Linked DNA regions of Kluyveromyces lactis. The protein of the gene in region 4 purifies or fractionates together with the protein of the main gene of each other region. This does not show direct contact. Links are inferred from orthologs where the notes say so. Each region holds a gene or a part of one and is shown on either strand. Other genes may lie near its edges.

Region 1 (2,993 bases), about 1.5 Mb from region 4:
TGACTGGGAAGGAAGTTGTTTTGGGTTTCGATAACGATTCAAGGCCTATATTGTACTTAAAGCCTGGTAGGCAAAACACAGCAACCTCCCATAGACAAGTCCAGCACCTTGTATATATGCTTGAACGTGTTATTGATTTCATGCCTCCTGGGCAAGATTCATTGGCTTTGTTGATAGATTTCAAAGATTATCCTGATGTTCCAAAGGTTCAAGGTAACTCAAAGATTCCTCCTTTAGGGACCGGTAAAGAGGTTTTACACATTTTACAAACACATTATCCAGAAAGATTAGGGAAAGCATTATTAACTAATATCCCGTGGCTTGCGTGGACCTTTTTGAAGCTCATCCATCCTTTTATTGATCCGTTGACTCGTGAAAAATTGGTTTTTGATGAACCATTTCCAAATTATGTGCCACCTGATCAACTCGAGACGCTTTATGGTGGTAACCTCGACTTCAAATATAATCATGAAGCCTATTGGCCTGTCCTAACTCAAATTGCAGAGAAGAAGAGAAAGCATTATCTACAAAGATTTGAGAAGTTCGGAAAAAAAGTTGGACTGAGTGAATATGATTTAAGAGGTGACCACGATGAGTTGAAATTCCCAATCAACTAAAAGTCCAACTAACTTTTCTGATAATAACATATGATATTCAGGCGTTGAATTCACAATGATCTTAGTAGAAACTTCCTCAATATTCCCAATATGCGTGAAGCCTAATACGAAACTAATGTAAATGTAAATGAAAGTTGTAAATGTATGTATGTGAAGGTACCTATAGACTTGAACAAAAAGCTTGTTGTGTTCCGACTATATTAGAAGGGCTTTGCACATTTTCGTTTCTCAGCGACTCCGGTCTTTGGTGAAATCATTGTCTGCCAATCAATTGCATACATCTGTTCTCCAGCTCCGTTAGAAGACTTAGCGAACACCACGCCCAAGTCATTCCTTGCTGTAGTTAAATAGTAATGGGTACCATCGCCAAGTGAGAGCACTTGAGCACGTATTATATCCCCAGGTTTAAAACTTTCCATAACTTTTACTCTATCTCTATCAGTGGCCCTTACATCTTGGGATCTAATTATGCCCCTAAAAGTTTCTCCCAAATCCGCGGACACTTGCGAAACGGAAAACGTAGACGCACCAGATCCACCAGCAGCAGCAATTATGCCAGTCCCATTGCTTCCGACACCAGAGTCGATCGGCAAGGGCGAATTCTCAACTGCTAAAATCTCAACTGTTATTCTTTGCAAACTGATTCTGGTCACCCTCGCCAGTACGATATCGCCCTCTTGCGGAAGGTTATTGACAAACTGGTCATCAACATACTTGCTAGCAAACTTGCTAGGATTTGATACTGATACTTTGAAACTTTTTATAACTCTACTATTGCCAGAGCTTGCATCCCCTCCGGTGGTCTCATGAGATTCTACAAACGTCGTATTCTCTGAGTCTTCTTGATCGTCGTCTTCGATAATATCTGCTGGAACTTCTTCCACAGATACAGAACCTTTTAATGTGGCTACGATAATATCAACGTTCTTGCCGTTAACTCTAAAATTCTCCTGTTTACAGCCAGTGCCCGTTAGGAAGCGTATTACCACTTCTTGCTTGTTATCATCATCAACATCAAATATTGGACATATAAGATCACCGGGTATAACAGTCTGGGGGAAATTTTTAAAAGGCTTCATTTTATAACGATGCATATAGACAAACCTTACTGTTATCAAACACTCTTATTATCTTACAGGCCATATTTAAGCTAGTTTGGTATTACTGTTAGCTCATCGCATAAAGCAGCTCTTTTTTTATCATTTTCATAATGAGTGAAACAATTTTCAAAATTTGGGAGATGTTGAAGACAAGTTAGAATTATTTTCAAATAGTAGGGTAATATTACCAAAGCTTTCAAAGCGGGCTCAACACGAAAGCTACGTGCACGATTTGAATCCATATAAAGGGAAACATAGAAACGCATGGTAAATGATTTAACTACTATGATTACATGTATTTATAGGTCTACTAAAAGAAGTGAGTGTTGCACATAGAATCTTCGTGAATGTCCATTTCTGCTTTAAGCTCATTCAGCTCGTCCTTTATCATTTGGGCCAATTGAGGAGTAAGTTGATTGCATGTTGCCGAATCAGGATGCCTATCATACTCAAGTTCACCATAGGTCTCATAAAGGACTATTTGAGAGGAAAACTTAACAAGTTTTGCTGCATAGCTAGATCTTTCTTCCGATTTCTTCGACATCTGATCTGAGATATGTTCAAGTCCCGTAAGCCCTGAAAGTTCCATGGTACTGTTGAATTGTGGCGCTTTCAAACCCCTAAAAGACATCGATATAGGCCTGCTCATCGATGTTGTGATATCTGGTAAAAATGCGTTGATCTTTGGGGATTCTTTTACTGCATGTATGCCATTAAAATCTTCGTTCTCAAAATCTTCCTCATCATAATTATCAAAATATAAACTGCTATCAGAAAAAGTGTTTTGGTTGCTACTGCTAACATTTTCTGGTGATGTGTCTCTTGTTTTTATAGTACTTGATATGTGTTTCTGATCATCCAAACCAGTCTGTTTTTGGTTGAGTACTGAACTGTTTGTCTTAATTTCTGGGGAGTTAGTAAGTTCCACAAGAAATGAGTTTTCTGTCTCAGTATTGAAGCTGGGCTTGGATAGAGAGTTTTTCACAGATTCTTTGACCGGATTTAGAGTTTCATAGTGTGAACGATTGTCAGAATAGAGATCAAAATTTAACTCGATATCTTGTCCAAAGTCTATTATACTTGCAAATTCCATGATATCTGAGATTAATTCGTTGTCTTCATTATCTGAATCTTCAAGACTAGATTTAGTTGCCTTATTCTGCACCAATGGTTTTTCTAGTTGATCTTCTTGATCAGATTCCATTGTCAGCTCGTTTAACTTTTGCTCTATGGAACCAAAAGAAAAATCTCTCTGTTGTGGTGAAATTGTGAAACT
Region 2 (4,485 bases), on a different chromosome or scaffold from region 4:
TAAGATGTGAAGTGAAGAAGTTAACGGAAGGTGGGCATAAAGGATCGTTAGAGTGATGTAAAAATGATTAGAAATGGGATGCTAAGAGTGGATGAGTGTGACAGCAAAGAGTAGTGACCATTGTGACATTAGAACGGAAACTCCAGGTTGCTTTAAATCGAGAAAGAAGTTGTATCATAAAAGAGGTAGGTAGAGAAGAGAATAAAACAGAATAATGAGTTATTAAATAAAATACAAGGGTAGAATAATAAGTAGTGCAATAGTGAGAATAAAAGAGAGTAGTAAGTAGTAGAAGAGTAGGGAATAAGAGTAGTAGGAGTAATGAGAATGATAGTAGTGGATCAAAGGAAATTTGAACTGGTCGACTTCTTTATATTAAAAAGGATGAGGGAACTGGCGTCCATAGATCCAATGAACAGTGGTTGGAGTGAATAAACTGTCAAAGGCAGTGAATTATGCAAGTGAGTTGTCTGTGGAAGTCAGTGTATTGTTATTAATAGTAGGCAGGCAAACAAGAGCGAATGAAAAGAATCACAAGTTAGATTGCAACTTTTGTTGTTCTCTTGCCCACCTTGCTGTATCTCTAGTGTTTTGAGAAAAGGATTGATTGGTTTTCACGTCCTTTACAAACTTAATCATCCATGGTTGTGTATAGAATTGTTGGAGCCTTCCGTCTGGGTACATGGCAGCAATATCACCCACTATACCGACTGCTGTTCTTGCAATTGAATCTTCTAATGCAACACTTGGATTATCAGCCAATAAGTTGATAAATTGGAAAATTGAACCTGTGTAAGGAAACAATGCATCTGGTTGGTCGTGTAGCCCTGTTATTATTCCTACGTATGCGTCCAATATTGATTCGTATAATTTATATTGATAATCGAGGGCATCAGAAGAGCTATAATTCGGTTTATAGTTTTGAGCCATGACGCACACGGACATAACTTGGGACAAATACTGTATAAAATCTGATCCAATGTTGGTGGCAATATCACCAAAAACAGAAAGGACTGCAGGTTGTAATTCCTTCTTCGCATCTGGAGAAGAAAGCATTTGCCCAAGAACACTCATGAACGATGGAGCGAATTTCTTGAAGTCATCCTCTAAAGAGTTAGAGATATCAGCAATTAGATTGACGGCAGTGATAGAAACTTGGGACTGTACTTGATTTAACGCATTAACCAAATATGGGGAGAAACTTTCCAAATACTTTTCAAAGTTTTTACCCAACGCAGATGCTAGAGCAGAAATAGCGTAAAAGACATCATCTTCCACGTATGTTGTATCATTCTTGCTCAAAAGTTTCATAAATAGATCCATCAACATATCTGCTACTGGATTAACAGATTGTGGGTTCTTTCTAATCACTGCAGCCAAAACAGATAAAATGTTCGATTGTAATTCATGTAAGTTTTGTCTATCTTCAGCTGTTAATTGAGCTTCATCCACTTGCATTGTTTGTCCAAGTTTATCCAAAACAAAAGTGGAAATTGAGGTAGTAGTTTCCCCGACTTGGTCATTAGCGAACTCTACTAAAGTAGTCAAAGCAGAAAATACAGATGCTCTAGCATTATATTCATTGTCTGACCTGTTTGAAGCTTCAAGCAATGCGCTAACAAGAACTGGATAATAATTGTATATCGGAGAAGAAGGGGTATCAGCTAATTGTTCGACAAGGTTGATAATCGTCCAAGAACAATTGGTAGCCACTTTTGGATGGTCTTTTAACCCGATCAAACAAGCGTTTACAACATCAGAAAGATGGTCTTGAGGATCTATAGCAGCAACGACTGAGTCTGCAATTCTGCCGATGCACCATGCTACTGTTTCCTTCACTTGCAAAACTGGATCCGTTATTAGGTTGAGGATAGGTGGTAACGCTTGATGGACTAAACTAGTCAATTGAGTTTTGTCAGGACCGTCCAATATAGAACCAAAAGCCATCACAGCCGCTTCGCGTTGTCTCCAATTGTCACTGGTGATGTTCTGTTCAACGAAGTGCAAGACAGGTTCTACTACGTAGTTACCACAGTTTTGAGCGAATAGTTGCAAACAAGCACCAGCAGACATTGCCACGTTCCAATCATCATCATCCGGATCTTCATTTTGCTTTGTTAAAAGCTGTAATAGAGTTGGCACCACTTCTTGGATGGATACTAGAGCAAAATTGTAAGATTCCAAGCCTGGGTTGGAGTACTGTGACAGTTCAAAAGCAATATCAATTTCTTCTTCACAGATGGTAGACCAAAATTCAACGGCCATTGCTGCCACCTTTTCATTGGATGATTGTATAGTAGCCACGGTCAAAGCGAATAGAGCTTGTTCCATGTAAGGTTTCATGTAGAAATAGTATAGTGACATGATTTTACAAAGACAACCAAATGCGGCCGCTTGAATATCTTCATCCGAAGCCTGGGTAGCTTCACATACGACTTGCATCAAGTAATTTCTTTCACCCTCACGTTCCATATTATTCTTAATGAATGCAAGCGAGTCAGCCAATGCATTAAGCGCGGTAAGTCTGACAATCTTAGAAGTTTCGTTCGACTGTGCACCTTGAACGATAGCGATCAAAATGTTGTTCGATTGATTGATTAAAGTTTCATCACTTTGGTCTGCACTTTCACAGATATAACCCAATGTCAACAAGGAAGCTCTCTTAACATTTTCTGGTTGTTCTTGAGCGGTATTATCTACCATAATCTTCATCAACTCTGGCCATTGATTCAATGGCAATTCGATCTCTGCAATGGCAGCGATCAACTGAGCTGAAGCGTTGGCAACACGAGTCTCTGGATCAACCAACGCTTGTAACGCAAACTGCTTAATATGATGTCTAGACTCTGCATCGACTTGCGTAGACCAACGTTGAGCAAACTGCTGGGCCTTTGTTGGGTTCTTCGAAATCAATTCGTTCTTCAACGTCAAACCTGCTAGAATTCTAGCTTCAAGACGAACGGACACATCGGCCAAGATCTGAGACAAAAGTCCAGCGAATTGCAAGAAATTATCGTTAGATAATTTCTTCAACGTCGTCTCCGCTTGAAGACGGACCGTTGGGTCCGGAGTAATGATAATGTTTTCCAAAAACTGGGCAACCTCGGAAGCTGACATAACGATTTGTAAAGGGTATTATAACTTACTAGTGTTTCCAAATCCTAGCGGGTCGTTTCAATAGTCAGTCTCCAAAATTATAGAAATAAAACAAGGAACTGCAACAGCAAACGGCAAATAATAAATTTTCACACTTGGTTCACTTTATAAAAGTATCAGTATATCGAATAGCGACGTTAGATCTTCCTTTATTCTGTAATTATTCGGCGCCTACTAACGAGTTTCTGAGTATGAACTCTCGATCAAGTGTCTCACGAACCGTTCTCCCTTGCACAAGACACCTAAACGCAAGGATACAAAGTGAAATGTTTCCCTGTTTCTTGGATCCTAAGTTCTTTTGTTTACGAAATGTTTTCTAGTTGTTTTTGTTTGATAAATAGATGTGAAGGAAAGAAATTCTTTGAAGCTTGGGAATAAGCAAAAAATAAGAAAAAGCTGTGTAGCATCTTGTAAAGCGCGTTTGTGCTACGATTTGGAGTGGAATCAGATGGAAAGTAAAAGAGTCTGTTACCCGGATATATTGCCTAGAAAACAATGTATGAACCCCATAAATGAAGAGAAAAATAGGGATCGTGCTCCTGTTTAACGGAGGGTAACTTATATACTGCTAGGGAAGAAAGAATTTTTTGCCACTCAACTGCAAATAGCCGGGTAAATAGTTGGCGTTAGCTTGTTCACGTGACTTGTAATTCGTGTTTCAAACCGAGTAATAAGGGTATTATCATTAGCTATATGGATCAAGGATAATATATATGTAGATATAGATAGTTAGTTAGATGATGCAATAACTTGCGAGACCATCCAGCTCTATGGGGCGTATTTCTTGATCAATTGGTCAACCAATTCGATGTACTGTTGTTCGGCATCTTCTTGGGAAGTGCCCTTCAACAATTCCCAGGCGTCCCACTTGTAACGGTCCTTCAAGTTGAACATGCCTGGTTTTTCCTTGGTGTTGTCACCGACGGTTGCTTGCTTGTATAGAGCATACAATTTCAACAATTCATCGTTATTTGGAGTTGATGGCAATTCATTGACAGCTTTAGCCTGCAGATAAATGTAAGATGCGGTTAGTATGATTATTAAGGGAAATCAAAAGCCATTGCAACAACGATTCCACATACCTTTTCTTCGAATAATTGAGAAACCATTGTGTTTTGAGTGAGTGTCGATATCTGACGTATTGAACTAACACTTGTCTTTCACAAATCCTTCGTTTAGTACCATGTGTAAAGCTTCTCTTGATTTTGTGCATTAGGTATTTATATGTTTTTTCTCACTGAAAACAACTTCCTCCAGTTTTTGCTTACATGGCACGAAACTTTTCATAATGAACGGCATTAGTATTCAGGTAAGATCTAACAGCTGATG
Region 3 (2,959 bases), on a different chromosome or scaffold from region 4:
ATCGTCAACATCAATGACGAAAATACGATTCGGATTCCAGAAGAAATCGAAATCAAATGGGCCGTTACCAATGAAGCTTTCCACAAAGATGACTGGATTGGACTTTACAAAGTCGTTGAAACTGGTGAAGATAGATTAACTACAAAGATACCATCTCAAGGACATTGGTCGGCGGTATCTTCGAGCTCTTCATATTCTGAAGATCATCAGAAGATTTTGCATTTCGATTCAAATGACCATTTCACTTATGGATCTATAAAATTCGATAAGAGTATCCTTTGCTTTGAAGAAGGTATTTATGAATTTAGATACCACAGTGCTAACAGTCACGATGTTGTTATGATCTCGAAACCTTTCAAGTTATTATTCCCTCAATTTAAAGAAACTGTAAAAGACGTGGACCAATTAATTGCTACCACGAAGCAGTTCTTGAAACAATGTGGTGTTCTAATCAATGATAATAAATTTGATTTGAATAGGAACAAATATTTCACTGGGAAAACATTACAAAACTGGTATAAGTCTACTATGGACACCGATGTTTCCGTTGTTTACATGAAACGTACCAATTTTGATATCGATATTATCACCAAAAAAGTATGGCAAATCAAGCAAGTGTTAGATAACTTGGAATAAATCGCATTCTATTGTACTTAACTATATCTAAAGTATCAACCCATGTATAAATAGGATATGTTTCTAACGAATCCTCACCCTTAATGGTAAAGCCTTGTATATTTTTATTTTGCTAATACAGAAGAAGCGTTCGTGTCACATTAATTATGAATCACTATGAAATTACGTTAACCATTTCATTTCATTTAAGATATTGAACCAAAGTCTGCTTATTTACCAAATATTTTGCCTTGCACTCTTCTATTAATTTTGATATGTCAGTGACGTTATCGTCATCGCTCCAAATACCGACGATTTCATGTCCATTCCTAATAAACGCAACCACAGAGTTATCTTTTGACCCGGCACTCACTAAATCAATGATTTCAATACCTGCGTCTACAAGAGCCATGGTAATAGAATTAATGCATGTGGGTAGAATATTAACGATATTTGCCTCCTCTGTTGGATTACTATTAGAATGCTGGATCAAATCTATAAAGATATCAATACCAGATTTTGGATACTTCTCAACGTTTATCACCGCATTAAAGACATTTGTTAGGAAAGTACAAATTTCTTTAATTTCTCCGGTATTCAAATGTTCTAACGTAACTTCTTTGAACTGAATCGATACTGATGCCTTAGATTGGAAGGAGCCTCGCAATGGCCTGGGTCCGAAGACAGAACTCATTACGAGAACTTGATCCGAAGTACCATCCATATATTCTAGGTATGAGGAACCATTTGCATTCGTTACTAAATCCGTACTAATGAACACAGATTCCTTACCCGATTTATTACCATTACCATCGTCCCTGTTCTCTACGGTTCTTACAGGAGTAATTGCAGCAAACTGCAATGGCTTCGCTTCTGCTGGCCCTAATATTCTTCTTCTATCTTGCACACTCATTAATAGACCTCTCTTCTGTGGGTATTAGTTTAATATAACGATGGGAAACAAACTCAAGTAAATATATGCTGATATGGCACTAGCCAACGTCAACTTGGAAGCATCTCATCGCATGTATATTCACTTGCAAAACGGTCACTAACAGAATACCACGATTGAAATAGTCGAGATGGAAAAATTCTAACGTCATCACGTGATAATATATATGTGTTTCCTATTTGTTTCCCGTTTGTTTCCGTACCGTACTTGTTTCCAAATTATCGGCAGGCAGCATTGGAACTTTTTTACAAATCAACCGACGATCAGTACGTGTGAAATGATTTCTAAACAGAAGAAGTGGCTGTCGCCCGGTATTGTCAAACCAGTAAATAGTAATAGATCCGTATTTCTGAAAAAGAGTCGTGTACTAGCTTTCGGCTCATCACCTCATACGTCAGAAGGAAACGGAGAGAACTGCTTTGTGAAGTTATATAACCACGTGACTAACTGGTGTTTCTCATATGTTTCTCATATGTTTCCAAACAGCACTTGTTTCCGGTTCATGCCAGGTGACCGTTTTCGCAAACCGGTGGAGGGGCAGACGGAGACCCCCCCCTCACAACCTGGGATTTGGCAACTAAAACACCCCACTCTAACCCGCCTTGCCAGTCGTACATACAAAAGCCAGTATCGTTTCTGGGTGTATCATCAAGACAAAGTCAGAAGCTATTCACTTGGACCAGATCGAAAGCCGAACCCTCGCTAATGCTCTCACCAGAAGCTCTTTCATGCATAGGTTTCAAGAATCAAGGCAAGTCATTCGTTCATTGGTTGAACCACCGAAGAAAAGGATGACCAAAGTACATTTTTGAATTAAACCGACTCTGTTAGTGTAACGTTTCTTCCAGGCATCTGGCAGAAATTATAAAGATTTTTGATATTACACCCCACCAATAGCCCAGGACTCTGATTAAAATCAAACTACTCTGCGAATATTGCTCAAAGTCTAACCATATAACTTGGAATGTCCATTGATTCAAACAAGTTGCAGTAGGACAGAATATCATGAATGACAGTTAACCTACAATCTTTTTTCTTGAACAAAAACTAACAATCTAAGAGAGATTGAATCGTAAAAACAAGAACATCAAGGCAGAAAGCCGTTGAATAAGGCCAACATACATCTTTACATAGGGAACAACGAGTATATTGAACTTAATGTACTATCTCGTACATACTTCAGAAGAGGGAGGAAAAGTATTGACTAAAGTTACGGCAATCCAATCTTAAAAAATTTGATGCATAAGTTTTGGCTCTCTTTGTAAGGAAACCTTTGACATCAGATCGCGGTAGCATTACGATGCTAATCGTAGACCAGAGTGATCTAGGGTCATTGTCATATAGCAAGGCGGCTGTACGGGAGCTGCAAAAAGAAAATAATGCTTCCAACCA
Region 4 (4,850 bases):
ACTATATAATGTTAGAGTATTCTTTTTATCAGGTCACTGTGACAAAGCTTGATGGACCAGCCCATAAGAGACGACTAGTGCCTTTAAATGACATAGAGCAGCAACAACTACTAGTACATGGAAAAGTTGATGTGAATGTCCCCAAATATCGAACTTTCCCGGGGCAAGCCTTTCGGGAAATCTAACTCCATATAAGAATGCTCCGAAAATGTATAGAACTCCTTCCCAAATGACCCATGTCAATTGAACCCTCTTCCATGTCTCATCTTTCCCATAGACAATAAACCCAGCAACTATCGGGAACACCGCAGAAAGTCCAAATAGAACAAACATAGTGGCTCTGTAAGGTCTCCACTCTCTAGACCTGAATTTATCCTTTAACGACATGTAGCCACAAATTAACCCGAAGAGACTTGTCAAACCCGCAAATGGATAAAACAAAAGACTGCTATCGTGAAATCCATAAAACAATATACTAATCATGGACGTAGATATTAACACAACGATTCCTAAATAGTCTAACTTATTACCAAAAGTTGCAATTGGTAAAGAATGACATTTAATGGTATGGAACATACTACTCATCGTCAAGCAAGTTGCGCACCCGAAGAAGAAGAGATTTATCATAAAATAATCAATTGCTGAAGTCGTAGGGTACTCGTTGATAACATGATGCGTAGCAAATAGCATAATAAAGAAAAGGGCTACTGCAGGTATAAGGTGTGTGTATATGTTAACACTTTCATTGTGAAGATAGAACAATGAATGGAAAAGCTCTTTCCAGCTCTGGGTCTCTCGTACATAGCCATGCAGGATGTGCTCATTATCCTTTTGCCAATCTGGAATTTCATCCCAGGAATAAACCCTTCTCTCATAAACTCTTACAGTTTTCTTCGTTCCCGGGGTCTCTTCGATGAGGGCGGTCTCTTCAGTAACAACGGACCGTTTTCTAGTGCTCATAGTTCAAACTAGGATTTCAGATAATAGGATAGATAAGCTCTTGGAGTCGTACCCGTTTAATTTTTCTGCTCTTTATGTTTGATCAAAGCAGTTCATTGCAGTATGCATTAAAAATTCAATCTCATTATATATACTACTTAGGGCTAAATCTCTTTTAAATGCCATGAGATACCCTTATTTATACACTCTTATAATTCCGCGTAGTAAACAAAATTTGAATATCAACATTCCTTTTTGTCAGTTCCAACATTTTCGAGAACTGTTGGCTAATCTGATGCACTGCACATGACTATAGATGAAGAAATTAGGATAGACTGACTACTGTGAAAAGACTCCTTGCAACTGGAGGATCTTATGGGCAGTCTCAGAAAAGCTCAAGTTATCCAATCTGTGTCTCAATGCCTAGGCAGAAGTAGCTATTTCTAAGGAAAAAAACTATTACGCAAACGAATTAGTGAGCGAAATTAACCTGTAAATATGACTAGTTCGATATTTATACCATTAGAGCTGCTCAAGATGCTCTATCTTTTGAATGAGACGTTCTTACCCTTGGCAGGTTTTGATTTTTTCTTGATAGGCTGTGGACCGACATGTTCAACAGAGTAAGGATCGAATCTTCTTTTTTTATGCTTCTGTGAGTTTGTATTATTCTTTGTTGAGTTCAATAGGTCGGAGCCAGCAGCATAATCCATAATCTCATGACTTGCAGGTGGACTGATAGTCTTTCGTTTGTTGTTAGATTGAGATTGTCTTTTGCGCAACGTAATTACTTCATCCTTGTTCTCTTCAATCTCTTCCTGAGAAGGATCAGACGTGATGACTTCATTTCTGTTTTCATCGTTAGATACTTGCGTAGGAGCTTCATCCTCATTTGACGGTAGCACAATACTCTGAGCTTGTCGGTCAGTGTATTCTTGTTCTAACGTCCTTGTTATTTCATGCTGACGCTTTAATAATTCATGTTGTGGAATGAGCGTTCTCGTCTTTGGTGTATATCTGACGGCAGTATTCACATCCAAGTTTGAAATACCATTGAATAGGACAGATTTCTCTGAATTTTGTTCGTTATTCAGCTTTTGAGAGTTTATTTCCGAAGCAAGTGAATGAAATATATTCTGAATGGATTTAATTTGGGACGTTGTTATTATATTGGCCAGATCGGTGCCGTTACTTTCGGCCGATTCCAAAAGTGGGATCGCAGAAGAGTTGGAATTTCCTTTGAGATCCTCTAAAGTTCTTTTGATCAAGTTTGCAATGACCTTCGAATTTGTTCTTAAATGCTCTGAAACGTATGAGCTGACAGACAATACGTTAATGGGTTCGGTTGGTGCACCAGCCACCAACGATACAAGTAGTTGGTTTGGCATCACGTAACGAGGAGATTCATCATCCCTCCTGGCGATTGTATCTCTCCATTCATAAAGTCTACGGAGAAGTAATTCCTTTGAAGCCGGAATATTGTACTGAAACATAATATTCTTCCAAGGTTCATCCTTTTCAATAGGTGAAAACACTGCTGAAGACGGAACCTTTGGTCTGAAACTACTATATTCAAATCTTCTTTTAGCCACTTTTCTCGATTCATGCAAAACATCGGACATCTTATTCTGTTCCAGTAGAGAGTTCCTTAATTTATCGAAAATATTTAGGAGAAAATGCGTATCAGCTCTTGCATATGCAAGCATAGGCTTGGTCAACGGTCTGATTCTCCAGTCTGCCAGTTGATATTTTTTTGAAGTCTTGAAATTAGCAAATCTTTCGAGAAGATAGGCCAGACTGTGTTTTGGAAAACCTAACATCCTGGAGGCATGATAAGTATCAAAAAGGCCAACAATATATAAGCCTAAATCACGTTGAAGCCATATGATATCCATGAATGCACCGTGCAGAACTTTAGTAACATTAGGGTCGGTAAAGATATCATTCAATATGTAAAGTTCCTCTCTCAATGCAATAGTATCTACAATCCAATCATGCTCCCGGTCACTAATTTGCATCAAACAAACTATACCATAGTAAGACCTATAATCATGATGTTCTAAATCGATTGCTAATTCTGTGGCTTTACTTAATTCATCTTTCATTTTGTTAAGGCCTTCAACGGTGTCAACCCAAATTGCTTCAGTTTCATCCCAGTCCTTTGATGGGATCGGTTCTGTTGCAACAAGAATGGAGTCATTGTATTTTTGGTGGTCGATCTCATATTCGTATGGATGTGGGTAATGGGACGGGATGGATTCCTCTTCTGGGACCATCTTCAATGAAATTTCGAACGGTTGTAAACTATGGGGTTTGTATTCCAATAATGGCTTGAAAGGATGAAGTTCTGTGTTATCTACAGGAGTTTTAAAACTTAGTTGAGGTTTTTCAATCCTCTTGGATGGTTTATTGTTCGAACGATCATCATCATTTAGATACTTAAGTGATGGACCTCCAGCGTTTCCACCATTTCCGGCTCTAATGTTGTCAAGTGCATGATCAGACTTTTCAAATAAATTATCCATAATATTACTTATGGATTTCCAAGAATCCACAAAACTGTCTTTCCCTTGCTGAATTACATCATTATTGGGATCAATAGACAAAAGCAAGTCGTTGATTAACGATAAAATGTTCGTAGAAGTGTCTTCTAATGATGCATTAATGTTGGAATCTAAACTTTTGTAGAAATCGATATCCTGTGCAGCCAATGCACTCGATGATCTCACAGTTTGAACCAAACTGGAAAGTAACGTATCCTTATCCTCTGAAGACATGGTGGATTAGAGTCAGCTGGTAGTCTACGGGGGATTCAAAACGGGGCGAATCGTACTGCCCTCCAATATATTACTGTCTTTGACTACCAGATGAGATGAGATGAAGAAATATTCACTAATCAAAAGAAATCAGAAGAATTCAAATCCGGGTAAAATTTAGATGTTCTCTGCTACTGATGAAAATGATTCATTCAAAGAGTCGGTAGTATTACAGAGAGAGTCAGACCACGTATCACCACCGCCGCCATTGCCTTTCAACGGCTACGTTATAAGTTAATTGGCTACTAGAGAACTAACTATATAATCTTGCATAACTTCTGCTTCCTCTACGATGTACGGATTTTTTTTCAACTAATGTTGCAGCATCTCTCATCTCAATATTATAAAATGACGCTAGAAGCAGACAGCATCAGCTGCTCCATTTTATGGCAACCAATTAAGTATAGCTATATAGGGCGGCTAACCTGTAAGAGTAAAGATGGCACAATTGAAGGAAAGTAATGCAAAATCCTGAAACATTTAAGTAGTGAAACTATACTTTAATACTACATGCTTTTTCATTGTAATCTTGGGTAGTGATTCAATAACTTAAAAGTGGGTCAATTAATGTCTAATTTCCGTCTAGACATTATGAAGTGAATATTGATGAGTATTGCTGCGATGAAAAGAACATCAACAAAAATGGGAAACCATTTCAGTATCGTAAAAGACTCATAACACATTTTGCCAACCATCTTCACAAATTCAGCGAAAGATAAATTGAATCCGAAGTTGATTCCATCCTGGCAATGAAATAAATTAAAGGAAGGTCAACTATTGAAATGACTTGAAAGCTTTTTGCCGTTGCGTAGCAAAGTGCTCTTTCTATCCATATTGGTCGGATCATCCTCCTTCATATTTCTCTTTTGTGGAATGGTGATCGGAGGAGAATCACTATTCTCATTAACAGAAGTTTCTCGGGAACGAGTTTTCCGGTGTTCACTCAGATTAAAGCTATCGCCCTCGGTTATAGATGGTGAAACGATCCTGCCCGTAGTGGATATAATGTTTGTGTTTAATCTACCATTTCCTTTATCTTTAAGATTGTTCTTGATTGTTGTACTAGGCGGTACCAAGGTGCCACCAATGCCAGGA

Evidence for each region. Proteins that work in one complex are often made in the same cells at the same time.
Region 1: the proteins of RRP6 (region 4) and CSL4 purify together in Saccharomyces cerevisiae (affinity purification with mass spectrometry; 13 studies listed by BioGRID, with this or other methods). This does not show direct contact. The link is inferred for Kluyveromyces lactis from reciprocal best matches to the Saccharomyces cerevisiae genes RRP6 and CSL4.
Region 2: the proteins of RRP6 (region 4) and KAP95 purify together in Saccharomyces cerevisiae (affinity purification with mass spectrometry, with the first as the bait; 6 studies listed by BioGRID). This does not show direct contact. The link is inferred for Kluyveromyces lactis from reciprocal best matches to the Saccharomyces cerevisiae genes RRP6 and KAP95.
Region 3: the proteins of RRP6 (region 4) and MTR3 purify together in Saccharomyces cerevisiae (affinity purification with mass spectrometry; 9 studies listed by BioGRID, with this or other methods). This does not show direct contact. The link is inferred for Kluyveromyces lactis from reciprocal best matches to the Saccharomyces cerevisiae genes RRP6 and MTR3.

Annotation. Positions count from the first base shown.
Region 1 is NC_006040.1:1,659,302-1,662,294, forward strand, and holds CSL4 (exosome non-catalytic core subunit CSL4), read right to left. Parts: upstream 1,712-2,993; coding exon 818-1,711; downstream 1-817. Other genes in the region: BNI4 (Bni4p), read right to left, coding at 2,028-2,993.
Region 2 is NC_006038.1:508,799-513,283, reverse strand, and holds KAP95 (karyopherin beta), read right to left. Parts: upstream 3,118-4,485; coding exon 532-3,117; downstream 1-531. Other genes in the region: long-chain fatty acid transporter ACB1, read right to left, coding at 3,925-4,161, 4,239-4,265. UniProt on the Saccharomyces cerevisiae protein: Importin beta subunit that functions in nuclear protein import through association with the importin alpha subunit, which binds to the classical nuclear localization signal (cNLS) in cargo substrates.
Region 3 is NC_006042.1:1,688,370-1,691,328, forward strand, and holds MTR3 (exosome non-catalytic core subunit MTR3), read right to left. Parts: upstream 1,529-2,959; coding exon 818-1,528; downstream 1-817. Other genes in the region: CHO2 (phosphatidylethanolamine N-methyltransferase), read left to right, coding at 1-636.
Region 4 is NC_006040.1:113,579-118,428, reverse strand, and holds RRP6 (exosome nuclease subunit RRP6), read right to left. Parts: upstream 3,717-4,850; coding exon 1,482-3,716; downstream 1-1,481. Other genes in the region: IZH2 (PAQR-type receptor), read right to left, coding at 34-960; PHO80 (Pho80p), read right to left, coding at 4,526-4,850. UniProt on the Saccharomyces cerevisiae protein: Nuclear-specific catalytic component of the RNA exosome complex which has 3'->5' exoribonuclease activity and participates in a multitude of cellular RNA processing and degradation events.